Linked DNA regions of Alligator mississippiensis. The protein of the gene in region 1 interacts with the protein of each later gene in a pairwise test. Links are inferred from orthologs where the notes say so. Each region holds a gene or a part of one and is shown on either strand. Other genes may lie near its edges.

Evidence for each region.
Region 2: the proteins of MGAT5B (region 1) and PITX1 interact in a two-hybrid assay, tested with the Homo sapiens proteins (2 studies listed by BioGRID). The link is inferred for Alligator mississippiensis from reciprocal best matches to the Homo sapiens genes MGAT5B and PITX1.

Annotation. Positions count from the first base shown.
Region 1 is NC_081831.1:14,521,423-14,528,939, forward strand, and holds the start of MGAT5B (alpha-1,6-mannosylglycoprotein 6-beta-N-acetylglucosaminyltransferase B), read left to right. Parts: upstream 1-4,440; 5' UTR 4,441-5,211; coding exon 5,212-5,279; intron 5,280-7,517. UniProt on the Homo sapiens protein: Glycosyltransferase that acts on alpha-linked mannose of N-glycans and O-mannosyl glycans.
Region 2 is NC_081832.1:70,687,417-70,694,643, reverse strand, and holds the start of PITX1 (pituitary homeobox 1), read left to right. Parts: upstream 1-4,161; 5' UTR 4,162-4,200; coding exon 4,201-4,401; intron 4,402-4,715; exon of another isoform or gene 4,716-4,898; coding exon of another isoform or gene 4,899-4,997; intron 4,998-6,429; coding exon 6,430-6,484; intron 6,485-7,227. UniProt on the Homo sapiens protein: Sequence-specific transcription factor that binds gene promoters and activates their transcription. May play a role in the development of anterior structures, and in particular, the brain and facies and in specifying the identity or structure of hindlimb.

The sequences.
Region 1 (7,517 bases):
AGTGAGTGACAACATGATGAAGCTGGGAACAAAGATTTTGGTGCGGTTATTTCTTTCCTGGAGACTGTTGGGTTTTTGTGGTGCCAGTGTGAACCAGAAGGGATGATAAGGGGGCTGTGGTAAAATAGGCAGCAAATACACAACTTTCAAGCCCAGAGGGACAAGTGTGATCCTCAGCTGAGCACAAGACATGGATTTTCACCGGGGTCTGGGACAGACGTTGCATAAACTGTTTTGACCCAAATCAGTTCAGTCTGATACTACATTCAACCAGGGTTATCTTAAACCAGTTTCAGCCATTTTGAAGCTGGTTTATGTGCACTGAACTTATGTTATGTTCCAGGTTTAAACCAGTTTCTGTTCACTTAAACTGGTTTATATGTAACCTGTGTCCCCAGCCCCAGTGACCCCTGCTCTGAGCCCTGTCGCCTGTGGGAGGAGCACAGAAGAATTTCTGGGGATCCTTCAGAGAGGCCTCAGTAGTGCGCAGGTCTTGTGCTGGCTTTCTGCACAAAGCTGGTAGTGGTGAGCAACAGGGGTATACATGAGGTGGATGAGAGGATTCAGCTGTTCCTCCGAATTAGAGCAGTAACAGGAGTTCCTAACGGTGCAGAGAAGCAGAAGGCAGTCAGGGTTCTTTGGGTAAATCTAGTATCTTTTTAGTTAGTCTAATAAAAGATATCGGATTTACCCAAAGAACCTCGTCTGCCTATGTCCTTCGACCAACACGACTACAACCTACACCAGAGAAGCAGAAAGTATTTGTCACTTCCTCTGCAGGAAGAAACATGGTGTTGGTTGCTGCAATAACAGTAATAATAGTAGAAATCCTAGTGGCCTCAGCCACCTCCCTTTCCATCTCCAGCTTTCTATTATTAAATGTATGAGTGAATTTAGGCTGGGATTTTCAAGGGAGCTGGAGGCTGGTAGATGCTCAAAGCTTTCTGTCAATGGGTTTTGGATGTCTAATTCCCCTGAAACCAAATGCCGAACTCCTAAGGGATCCTCCGATGCCAGCCTTGAGGGTAACAAAAATGGGAAGATTTGATTGGGATGAAGAGATTATTTATGCTAAACAAACTTCTCCCGTAGGTCTGCTAGTATGCCTCAAATCTGGCTGCCATGCTCCAGCCTGTGATAGCCCTGACCTGATGTAGCCCCGATACTCCTGCATGGGGATCCTTCTCCCTGGAAATTGTCCCAGTTGTGCAGAACTGGGTGTTGGTATGTTCAGGTCTCTCATCTTCACCAGCAGGGAGGGTGTGCATGTGAGGAGCCTTCCCCCTAAATAACCCAGGAGCAGTGGAGGCAGCCTGTCTGATGGAAATTAAACAAAGAAACATTTTTTCTTTAACACATCAGGCCCAGAAGCATGTAGTTGGTCCTTTGTTACCAGCAAATCTCCACTGAGCATAAGCCAAGTAGTCACATGAGTTGTCTGTCCTTAATATGCATATGGAGCCCTCTATTATGTAGCTCTGAGCTGGTTAGGAAATGATTTTCTCTCTGCGAAAAAATTTAATGAACACAAAACTGTTTGTTTTCATTCCGTTTTCATCAAACACTGAAAATTATGGACAATTTTCATAAAAGCTGCTGTTTTGTTGGGAAAATATTTCAATGGAAAATGTCCAACTGTGTCTAATCTAGGAGCTCTGATTCTTTTTCCTTTCTATTGGCATGGTTTTGGCAGGGATGATTCTGTCTTGAGCTCCGGGTTGGACTAGATGACATCCTGAAGTCCCTTCTAGCCCTGTATATTGTCAATGATTCTGTATCCTATGTGATTTTGATACTGCCTTTTTGTCTGTGGAGCTCATGGATTTAGCAGAGTGACTGTGGACTTGCGTCAAGGTGACAACAGGATCAGTGCCCAGGTCTCATATGGAAATAAGAGTTACAGTTTCACAACAGTCATAATATGGCATTTCATCTTGATCAGCCTTATGGGAAAATGCCGGGCTCTTACATAAGCAAGGGAACCCTGCAATTAGTTTATAAAGGAGTGGGTGTTTGTCTTCTCATTACTGTGACTGTGTCATATTAATAATGTGGCACCAGGAAAGCGTATGATAGGAGTCAGCCTGGGTGACGTCTCTGCAGAGGTGAAGAACACACGAAGGAGGGAAAGGGTGCAGAGAGAAGGGAGGAAGCATGAGATGTGTTTGTATGTAGAAGCGCATCTAATACAGAAGAGGACATCATTATGTTACTATTATAGATGCACCAGTCAAAATCATTCCTTTCCTGTACGTCACACACTCTACAGCCAGGTCCATCCAGAGCCTGGTTCAAGTGTAAATTAGGGCAAATTTGCCCTTTTCATTTTGTTTCAGTCAGTCAATCTTGGAATCTGTTCAGCAGCCCAGAAGCTGGCATCAGACTCATATAGAAGAGAGACTTGTTAGTGGACTATTCGGGTATTCAGAAGCAGAGTTGGTAAGATCAGGTCTGTGAAATACAGCCTCATTTTGTACTGTTGGATGTATGTTATTCCTTATACTGCAGTGAAAACAACACGTACAGCAATTAGGAAAAGCCATGATTCCATGGATGGTATGTGGATGGTACCAGAACCACAGGAGCAGAATTCCTCTTGGGCTGAGTGGCTGTCTGTTTGGGAGATGCTTCAGTAATACTATGGTCTCAGCTGTAATAAGGTGTGTGGACTGTGAGCTGCTGGTGACTCTAGGGTTCAGCATTGCTATCACAGAGGCCCTGAAGAATCCTAGCACTTGCCTCTGTGTGTGTGTGCATGTGCATGTGCATGTGTGTGTGCATGCACACATGCGTGCTGTGACTCCAGATGTCTACAGCTGTGTGTGTGTGTGTGTGTGTGTGTGTGTGTGTGTGTGTGAGAAATCACCTCTCCCCTGTGTGGGCCTCAGAACTGTCTCCTCTTATGGGTGGGGAAAATGTCTCACTTGAAAACTGGTTCATGCACTGACCAGCAGTTCTGTTGAAGGGGCTTCCATAGAGTAAGGAGGGAGGTCTGGCCTTCCACAGAAGCTGGGGGGCTAAGTATGACTGGGCTGTGTCTGTGTGCTTGCCAGAGCCAGCTACGTGCAAGACAACTCTGCTAACCACGTCAACAGCTAGGTTCAGTACATGGGAAAACAGGGTGGCATTTTACTTCTTTATGTAGATTTGGTTCTTGATCACACTCCAAAGAGAAACTCCATACAAAGCTCTGGGCCCCTTGACTCACGAGAGCAAAGATTATACAAAGTGAGCAATGAAAAAAGTAGACACTGCCTTTATTTTTCCCAGCCCACCACAGAGTAGCTGGTCACCAGTCTTGTGCCTATGTTATACTTTCACACTCCCGCTCTTCCACCATCTCAGCCCTTGGCCAGTTTCTAGTCCATGACAGGTTCAGAAGGTCAGTAAATTCAGTTGTTTGAAACTCCTTAGGCTGTGATCACCTCTCTTCTCCAGTGCTACCTCTGTCATTTGCTATTTTTTTGTTCCAGGAGATGAAGATGTCCTCATAGCAAATGTTGCCTTTTCACATGGTGACTCCCAGACAAGTCAAATGATGACCCATCATCAAGAATTGCTAATTGTCATGTCAAGGCTAACAGGGCTGCAGTGGTGGGTGCTGTTCTAAGGGGATATTCAGAAATCATGGAAGCAGTACAGGTGGTTCCCTAAACAAGGCTCAATTCTGTACAAAGTTGCACTGGTGTGTGTCTGCAAAAACTCCATTACAAGTATGTTCCCTACATGTGTTTGTAGCAGTTGGTTAACAGGATGCAGTCAGTGCTGCCATGACGCGTCATGGATGAATCTTCAGGCCAAATATCTTGTTCTTATTTCCAATGCAGAAAATCAACTACTCACTTTTATTGGGATCTATGTACTGAGCCTCAAGCACTAACACCAGGAGGACTTTTGGATGGAGCCTTCATAAACAATGAACTGGATTCTGATCTGTTTTATGCCCATGTGAAATCCACTGAAAATCTTACCATAAGGGAGGTGGATTCAAGTCTGGAGTTTCTGTCTTATCTACACATATTTTCTGGTACTTCTCATAAGTGTAGGGGTTTGTCCTGGTGTCTTCCTGGAAAGTCTTCACTTCCTCTGTTGTGCAGCCTGCTGTTTCCAAGTTGACTGCCATCCTCCATACCATAGTGGCTGCATTTACAAGATGCTTCCTGTCTACAATTTGCAAAGTGCTTTGGGGTGCATATCAACATATAAATGAGCAATATTAATTGCTGTTGTCACTGAAATAGGAGTTTTCTAAACAATATGACAGCCAGGGAGAGCGTCCATAATTCTATATGGATGTGCTGCTGATGAGATATCGAATTCTCTGGAGTGAGGGAGTCCAAAGAAGCAACGCAACCTCTGCATCAGTCCTAGCATAGTTGCTTCATAGAAACTGGCCTACACCACACCCTTTTGTTGCCACTAGATGGTGCCCAATTCACAATTTAGCAAGGAAGCTTTCTCCAATCCCTGCTTTAACAGTGCAGCCTTCTCAGGTGGAAACAATGCGGTGCCTGCTCAAATTAAAGCGAAGGGCTGGATGCCGAAGATTGTGCAAGGGAGCTCCCAGGATGGGATGGAGCTGGATCCTGTAACCTTTGCATCCCTAGATGTGATCAGGAGCCCCACTGGGATCTCAGTGCTGTGCCGACTTTTGACTGCGGAGCATTGCCAGAGGACAGCAAGTAGCTGGAAGTGCTGAGCGCTGGCAGGGAGATGTCAGGCATTTGACTCCAGATGAGGTGAGGCTATTGGGAGGATAAAGTGGGGGTGATGAAGGATCCCATGAGCAGGAATCGAGGTCTCCCCCACCTTGCCCAGCAGTGGATTTGTCTTCTCCGAGGAGAGATGGACGGAGAGAAGTGCTGCTATTAGCTACCACCTGCCTCCAAAATGTGAATAACAATAATAATAACAACAACAAAATCCCACCAGTGCACACAGTTCAGTTGCTCTCCCTCTGCTGAAAGGTTGTTCATCGAGAGCAGACAAAGGTTTGCCAGGGAGGGCTTCCCCTTGGAAGAGGAAGAGACCACCTCCACAAGAAGACCTGTAGTCCTTTGCTGTGAACTTGGATCGGTTGGGGTTATTTTGGTACTGCCCCATGCACAAATCCTTCTCATCCAGCCAACCATGAGCTTCGAAGAGTGGCAGCGTGTGGCAGTTTAAAGTGTCAGGTTGCTGCTTTTTCCTTTTCTTTGCTAAGTTTGAACAATGATCACTGTCAATTCGGATGGAAAAATAATGGTCAGAAGATGTCTCGTCACCTTGAGACCTTTTAGGTAAAGTTACTTTTATTGCCCTATTTCCTGTTTTCTCTCTGCCTTTTCAACCTAGCCTGCTTTTAGCACCAGGGGATCAGAATCTAAGAAGTCTTCTAAGACTAAAATCTTGTGTCAGTTGCTGTTTTCCAGGGGAATCGATCCCAGATTAAAATGTCAAGAATCCAAGTAAGTGTGTCTTTAGGTCAGTGTGATGGGAGCTGACATGTGGCTCTGTTACATGCTGCACGTTGACTTCTAATTTATTCATTATGCTAATATCTGGTGGGTATTGGTTGCAGGTTTTTAAATGCCTTTTTGAGTGATGTTTGTACCACACTGGAGAATCAATACATACAAATTAGAAGCTAGCTTTGACTCTCAGTGATAGTGGTGCAAATCCATTGATATTTATGGCTAAGGCAAGATTCACACTTGTAGCCAACAGCAGAATTTGGTCCTAAGTCAGACAGTAATAGCTCCCCTTCCCATTTGTATTTGTGCATTTCCACCTACAGTTCCCTGCAACAACTAGAAAGTTTTACGAGTCTTACAATTGATTTGCCTAAACCCCCTGCAATAAATCTCCCCTTTTTTGGTTCATTCATAATGTGAAGACACATTTTTCCAGTGCTTGTCTGCGCGCTTATTTTGGAGGAAGTACAGCTCATTCACTTTCCGCCAACAAAGGGCACTGATTTGACTCTTATTTGTATGTGTTTTTTGGGGGGAGAGGAATTTGCAAAAACAGGCCAGGATTGAGGGACAACAGGAGTGAAGCAAACTCATCTCAGAAGTTACTAGTCACCCAAGTAGTAGAAAGGAGTCTGTGGAGTGTTTTTTAGGAACTGGGGAATCCTGGGTTTTTAACTTGGCCAGGTTTGGTCAGAGCTGTCTCTTTCTCTGATGGCATAAGCTTGAAGAATTCTAGGTGATGATATTTCTTCTGTCTGGTCTGTCTCCATGACTGGAGTACTTCTTGAGCACATAATGATCTTCAGTGGATTTATCCTCACAACACCCCTGGTCAGGTGGGGTGGTGGTAGTAACTTCATTGTACAGATGGAGATTGAGGCTAACAGAGGCACTAAAGGCCATAGTCACAAAGGTATTTAGGAGTCTAACTCCCTATTGAAATCCATGCGAATTTAGGTGCCTAAATACCTTTGCGAATCCGGATGTGACTTGCCCAAAGTGGCACAGGAAGTCTGTGGCAGTGTGGGGGAAACTGAACCCAGGTTTCCCAGCACTAGTGCTCTAACTACTGAACCATCCTTCTGCATCCTCTGGGTAAGCTGGGGTTCAGGGAAGTAATTCTGGTTGGAAGTAGGTCACTGAGGGACAGCGTCTCCACACTAGCTTGGCAGGAACTTTGGCTGCAATTGCACCGCAAAGAGGTTGAGGGGTAATGAATGGGGGGAAAGGGTGAGCCAGCAAGGCTGGTCTGTGGGGCAGATGTCTATTGGCAGCAGAACTAGCTACCTGCAGTGACAACTTAGAGAAGAGAGAGGTACGTACCTGAGGCTGGGGCAGCTGTGGGTGTATGGAATGAGTGGTGGGAGCCATTCCTTCTTCAGTGGTCCTCACCTTGAGGAAGTCCTGACTCCTCTGAAGCACCTAGAAGAACTCCAATAAGCTTAATGGGTAATTTGTGTACCCCTGGGTTGGGGCAGGGACAGGCTGGGGCATAGACCTATCCAGGAAGCAAGGGGCCAGCAAGGGACCGTAATTGTAGCAATGCACCCGCTGCGCCAGTTGTCATACACTATACACAGGCATCTCCTAGAACTGTCACTTTTTCTCATGATGAATGACACTCAGTTTAACAGAAGAGCAGACTCTGTGTTGCTGTGCTGGGCTTGGGGGCTGCCTTCCACAGGGGAGCATGCCCAGTGCAGCTTCGAGAGGGCCTATTTGCTGATCTTCATGACTATGCTTATTAAACACCAAGATGAAGTTATCAGCAGATGCTTGCCTGTTGGGAGAGAGAATCCTAGAGTGGTAAAATCTTATTTCCAGCTGCATCCCAGGAGCTAGGCTTGCATAGGACAAACAGCAGAGAGGCACAGGGCATGGGCAAAATCTGATTAAAATAAGGCTGGGGAGTCTGACCGGAGTAAGCCCATGAGAGAGTGATGCGGTGATGGTGAAAGGTGATCAGATGGGAACGCCAGCGACAAAGTCCTAAACAGAATTAGGGACTTGGCAATAATCCCTGTGTACCTGGGACCTGATTCTGCTGTCAAACTTGTATAAATA
Region 2 (7,227 bases), on another chromosome or scaffold:
TGCACTCCTGAGAGCCTCCACTTCTCCTCTAGCTTTTCACTAGTAAAGTTCTCTCTAACATCCTGATTCTAGAAATGCTAGAAATGTCTCCATTGGTGCTGAGCAGTTCAGCACCTATCTCATGTCTAAACCCCTTGGCCTCAATAAACTAAGTGTGCCCCAGCTGACATCGCCATTAGACATGTTCAGGGTATGCCTAGTATGCATCTGCAGGGCTCTGTCCATTGCATGGAAGCATGCCAGGCACGTAAAAGACAGGCACTACAACATTCAGCGATGCAGTCCTAAAGCCATGTGTGATTCTAGCCACGTGCTGACTCTGTAGCACAGATCAGCCAGGGGCCCGTGCCTTCATCAGCAGAACCATACTTTATTTTAATTTCTGTGGGTGAAATCCTGCTTTCCTGAAGTTAAAGTCAAGGTTCCCTTTGACTTCAGAAGCCTACTATTTCTCCCACAATGAACTGTTAGAGACTTAAAGCTTTGTATGTAATCCTTGAAGTTAAGGGGTGTTCCCCATTGAGTCAATGTATCTGTGCTCCAGCTCTGCCACTGACTTGCTAACTGACCTTTGGCAAGTTCCTTCACCTCTTTGGATCTCCTAGCATTCCTCCCTAAAAATTGGGCTAAATCATGGTTTCAACTATCTGCAAAGTGACATTTTTCTCCAAGAGCTGATATTTCTCCCCAGGGTATTCTGCATTTTAGTTTTCACAAGCTCCTTTGAAGTCCTTGATGAAGAAGTATAATGGTAGCTCTTGAAAGCTTGCTGTGGTTTACCTAAGATAAATATATAAGATTATCTCAATATTTGCAATATTCCCTTGTCCAGGTACAAGCTAAAGGCACTACCTTTAATACTGCAAATACTAAGGTTATCAAACTACAAATACTTTTCAGTAAGTAGCAACGTCAATTGGAAAAGCTTCAAGAGCCACTACTGTAGTGCAAAAGTGAAGGATATTCGTGGTTTTTTCTGATGACATTTCACCAGTGAAAATCATATCTCGCACCTTATACTAAGGGACTATGTTAAATCCCAGAGAAACAGCCTGGCTACACAAAAAAACAGTGCTTAGAATTTTCAAAATCTGCAAGTCCTATTTTCAAAAGTTAATTAGGTGCTTAGGAATCATTTGAAAGTGGGATTTAGATTTAGGTTCCTCAGTTCTTAAGTCAAAGGTGCTTTGGCATTTTTTACCCATCACTTGCATTTTCACATGGGGTGTAAAACAAAATTAGAAGCGAGGACGGGTGTATAACATGGGGGGAATGAAACCAGTCTAATGCTATCTTGACTTGAGGACAGTTTGATGAACTCTTCACATGAGAATAGGTGAATCTGCAGTATGAATAGTGTTGAAGATACAGTAGGAAACCAGCTCAGTAGCCCTGTTCGAGGGCTGTACAATTGCATGTTTGCATAAATGATATAGTGTAACTAATGCCATTCCCTCCACATTTAGAAATTAACTTCAAATCATTAGGACCATCTTCTACCACAGCAATGTAGAATATTTCTGATGCAGAGCAATTATAAGACAAGAAAGGGCTAAATATTCACCAGAGAAAATTGTGTGTCCTCAGGGAGACACTAGGATTACACCCCCCAGCCTCACCCCCATTGTATTTCAGGAGTCTGAGAAGGATTATTAAGGGGAAGCATAATACCCTGGTGCTTAATCGAGGATGCCCGTGTGAGTTGTTTCCCTGTATCCTCCTAAATTGCACAATCAAATAAAATGCACATTTAACGGGCAGCTTATTAGACGCACAAGCTGGGACACACTTATCCCACATCTAACTCCACTGACTTCTACAAGAAGGGACAGGACCCAGGGTGCTTGAACCAACTCTGCCTCTTGCTCTGATTATTTTCTTTTCTCTTACACCATAAGTCGCAAAGGGCAGATAGTGCAGGGGACATGCTACAAAGCAGCAGTGTCTGTAAGGCTATACATGAAAGCGAAGCTGTAGTTAGAATGAAGGTAGCTGTAGTCGCTTAGGGCTCTCTCACATCCATGTGGGGAAAAGCATTTATTGTCTCCCCTGCTCCCTTCCTGGGTCCCTCTGTCTGGTCTTTAATTAGGTATTTTTTGGCTCAGGTGTGGGAGAGGGGATGCTCTTGTGGACCCTGGTGATTGCCTGTGATAGCCGGGAGCTTGTCTCAGCAGCCCGGGGAGTCCATTCCAGTCCTAATGAAAAGTTCCTGTGTTGCATTGTTCCAGAAAGAGAGCGCTTTGCAGGGCTCGGGCTCTACCAGATCTGCTCTTAGCTAATAAGCCATACTGAGGAGGCTGTATCCCTCAGAAGGAGCCAGGATCACATTTGCCAGAACGTCTGTTCTCGCTCTGCCTTTCTCTTCAAGGTGTTTCTCTCCCGCCACCCTTGGGAAACCCACTCCCCTGCTTTTCCGCCAGGCCCCCGGAGCCCTCGTACACCTGGGGAAGCTCCCCTTCCTTGGGTCCATGTAGGTTTCACACGTAACCATCTGCTTGAGGAAGACTTTATAATAACACATCATTAAGCATTGATTTAAAGACAATCATCTTCCCTCTCTTTAATTTCACAGCACCTTTAAAACAGCTGCTAGGCTGCAGCAGGGACGATCAGCCAGACAGGAAACACATTGTTAGCTGCTCGCATTAAAACAGTAGAATGCATTAATTTATGAGCTCCTACTCGCTCTCCAAACGTTTTATTATGTTAATATCACCTTGATGTGTTGGGTAGGCCCTTGTGCCAAAGCCTCATTCGCACAGTATGTGCCATCCTAAATTACAGGCTGGATCCGTCCTGGAGCTGCCTTTGGAAAACTGGAGTAAACCATAAAGCACTAAAGTTAATATTATCTTACAGACTAACAACCAGTTAATACTCGACATGTGAATTCCATTTACTTCTTCTCTATATAACAAATAGCAAGTGTGGGATTGGACTGGTTCTGATTTTATGCAATTTATCTTCTTGATCCATTCCATATTCAGACACACATCCTTTATTTTTCAGCTATAGTTATACCCTGTGAAGTCAGAGCCCCTTAAACTTGGGAACAGCCAAGAGACACCCCGGCTTAAATTTTAAATGGTCCCTGCCCTGTCAGTGTCTCTTGGCAGCACAGGGATGCCACTGGAACGCCTTGGGTTTTTGCTATTTTTTTTTTCTGCACATGTGGGGAAAGGCAGAAAGAAAGAAATCTTGGAACTGAAGTCGGTGAGCATGGAAACCCCTGAGAGTCGGCTGAACTAATGCAAAGGGTCTTAGGAAAATGGATGGAGAGATGGAGAGGCAGATAGGCCAGATCACTCGATGGGTATAATTATTAATTTATTCTCTAACCCACAAAACACTCCCAGTGACGAAGGGTTCCTCTAAAGGCCAAGAATACAAAGGGTTCCTGCAATACTGTCCATTTCATCCTCTGGCTGATAGTATTTCTTGCTCTCACTTTGGTTTGGGCTCCAGCCTCATTGTGTGAATGCCACAAGCTTTCAGCCCCAGCACCAAATCTGCCCGGCTACCAGGCTTTATGTGCAAAATACCAGCTCTGACTTTCTACCAAATATTCTGCCCCGAGTCCTTTGCCTTCTTGCACTCAGCCTGATTAGCTCCAGCCCCGGGTTCACTTAGGAGTTCATTGCAACAACAAAGTGGTTAAAATCCCAGGTTTTTCCAGGGGCTTTTCCTTAAAAGAAAAAAAAAAAGTTGGTAACCCCTCCCCCACCCTCCCAAAAAAGGCCAAGGGAAATGAACTCTAATTGTGTCCCTTTTCCTGGCACCGGGGTCCTGTGAACTGCAGGCCTGGCGGGGAACACTGCATGCCTTCAGTAATGTGCACACACCTCTGGCCCAGTGATATCTTCTAATCCTGACTTCAACCCAAGGGCAAGCAGAAGTCCCCCCCAGCTCCTACCCAGAAGAGAGGAGCACAGACCAGGAAAATCAGAGGCCTTTTCTTCCCCTCCTCTCCCCCTGCTTGCAAATCCCTAGCCTCCGAGGCCTTCCCCTGCAGGTTGAGCCTGTCTCCTGCCTATGGAGCGATGCAAGGGCAGGTAAGGCCGGCTCCAGCCACTGGGGAGCAGGCCTGGGAGCAGGGAACCAGCCGCCCTCCTGCCAGGGGGATCCTAGCACAAGGGGCAAAAAGGAGGCGCTGCCTCCCGGGCCGGGCTCGGCAGCCTTCCCCGCTCCCCGGGGCGGGCGATGCAAGGCGCTGGGGGCCAGGGGAGCCCCCACCTCTCTCCACCCCGCTGTACGCCCAGCAGGAGGCGCTGCGCGGCGGCGGTGGCCGGGCCCCGAGCAGCCCCGGGGCCGGGCCAGGCTCGCCTGTGCCGGCTCCCGGAGAGACCCTGGCGCGCACGGAGCGGCGGCGGAGAGCAGCTGGCAGTCAGTGGGAGCCCGCAGGTGGGGCGGCTCGGGCTGCATCCCCCCGTCCGGCCCGGGGCAGCAGCTGCATTTCGGTGCAAAAAAATAACACCAAGAATCCCAACGCTGCGCCCCTCCCCGCGGCCTCCGGTCGGTCGCCCGGGAGCTGGTCCCTAGGCTCTCGCGGAGGAGGGCAGCTCCCAGGTGTGCGCTCGCCTCGCAAGCCGCGGGGGCTCAGCAGAGGATCGGGCCCGGGAGCTGCGCTGCAGCCGCGGGGAGTCTCGGGCTGGGCGCCCGGGGTCGGCGCCTGCAGAGCCCGTCTCCAGCCGGCTCCACGGGCCCGAGGGCTCAGCTTCATAGCGGCGAGAACCGGCCCCGCGGCGTCCCGGGCAGCCCCCGGCTCCGGGCGGCTCGTGGCTAGAAGTGGAAGGAGAGAAGCGGCCGGAGCCGGGGAGGGAAGGCGCGGGGCTGCCGCACAGCCGTGCCCCGAGGGCTTGTGCGAGCGGCGTCGCCGTCCAGGGGGCAAGCAAAGCGGGATGGTGCCGCCGCCCCGCGAGCCGTCCTGGGCTGAGAGCCCGGCGGGCTGCGGGCGTCCCGGGCTCCCTCCTGGGCGAGAAAAGAAAACAGCGGTGATGGTGAGGATGAGAGCAATGACAGTCCTGAACACAGGAATAGCAGTAATGATAGCAATAATAGGAACGGGAATCGTCTTGATAACGAGAGCAATAATAATAGTTATAATAAGGATAACAATCGTGGGGGTGGTGATAGCAATAATAATAACAACAATAATAGTAATAATAATAATAATGATGATGATAATGATAGCAATAATGATGGCAATAGTCATAATAATGATAACAGCGATGATAATAAGAGTAATAATGATGGCAATAGTAATAATAATGATGATGATAACAGCGAAGATGATAAGAGTAATAATGATAGCAATAATGATGGCAATAGTCATAGTAATGATAATAACAACAGTAGTCGTTGTAACTGGAATGATGATAGCAATAATGATGATAATAGCAACAGTAACAAAAATTATAGCAATGCTGATGATAGTCATGATAATAATAATAATGACAGTAATAATAATAGCAATAATAATGATGGTGCTACTAATAGTAATGATAGCGATACTAATTATAGTACTGATAAGGAGAGCATAATAATGATGGTGATATTAACAGTAATGATAATGATAGATAATCGTAATAGTAATAATAAGGGTAGCAATATTGTTGATAGTAATGATAATAACTAATAATAACGATAGTAGTACTGATGACAATAATAATGCTATAATAATAATAATGGTGATAGTAATAAAGTAATATTAAGGGTATTAATACTAATAATGATAATAAAGATTATAGTAATAATGGCAACAATAATAATGATGGTGATAGTGATAACAGCAATCGTAATAATAATGATAGCAGTACTAATGATGATGATCGTAATGATATTAATAGTAAAATAAGGAGAGCGATAATCATGATGGTGATAGTAATAGTAATGATAATAGTAAAGTCATAAGGATATCAATACTGCTGATGATAATGATGATAGTAATAAGGATAGCAATAATCATGATGGCGATAGTAATAGTAATGGTGATAATAATATCAATAATACTAATGCCAGCAAATGTTGCTGACGATGCTAGCAATGGCACTAGAGAGGTAACAGTGGCAGTGATGTTAGGATAACGGTGGTGCGGAGAAGCACGGGGCAGTCATCATCACAGACATTGCTACTTGCCCGCTCGGTGCCCGTGCTCCGTGTGTGGGTCCTTGTCCCAGCGGCCGCGCGCGGAGCTCGCTCGTGTCTGCCCTGCCGGTGCCCGGTGCCCGCGGAGCTGTTCGGTGAAACCGCTGCTTCTCCGAGAGTTTCTCCTGCGCGTTTCCTTCTTGGGCAGGGCCGGTCCGGGCTGCTCGGGCCCTCCCGAGAGCGGCTGGCTTGGCTGCCCGAGCCCGGGACAAACCTGAGGCTTCCTACCAGGCTGCGGAGCAGCGGCCCCGCTCCCCTTGACGGCTCCTTTCCTTGTCCACACAGATCCGTGTCATGGAGCCGAGCCCGTCCCGGAGCGTCCCCGCCCGCGCCGCCGCAGGTAAGACGGCGCCGCTGGGCCCCGCGGGGCTCAGCCCGCGGTTCTCCGGCTCGGGGACGAGTCTCGGACACGTGTCGCGCCGGGGTCCTTAGGTGACACACGGGGGAAGCTCTCGGGCCGGAGCGCCGCTAACGCGGGCTAAGTCCCGTCTGCCCGAACTGCCCTGGAGCCGGGGTTCGGGGCTCCCCCGCGCCGCGGCCGCTCGCAGGCTGTCGTTCCTGGTCGCACGGGCCAGCTGCGATCCGAGGAGGCTCCCGTGCTGCGTTTGCTCTGCAAGGGGGAGCGAAGCCCCGGCATTTACCCCGCGCCAGGGGGGAGCAGACAGCCGCTCGCTTTGCTGCGCCGGAGCAAAACCAAACTCCATCTCTCTTTTTGCGGGATCGGCACGAAGGGGAATTGTTTCCCGGTCCCAAACAGGAACACCAGGTCCCGGCGCGTTGTTACAGTGGTTTCAGCCTTGTAGGAAATGTCCCGATGGGGGGAAACGTGTCTCTCTCCCCCCCCCCCCCCCCCCAGCGTCCAGGTCCTGCAGCAATGAAGCAAGGGGAGTGGGGAGGGGGGCACCCAATGGAAACATACTCTCCGATTGCTCTTGTGTTTGCAGAGCCGGAGTCCGTCCCTAGGTGCTGGCGACACCCCGGGTCCCGGCTCCATCCACAGCTGCAGAAATAAGGCGCTGGGGGGGGGGGTGTTTCTGAATCTAAGACGGGGCCGATCCCCGCGCTGCCCCGAGCCTGGGGGCA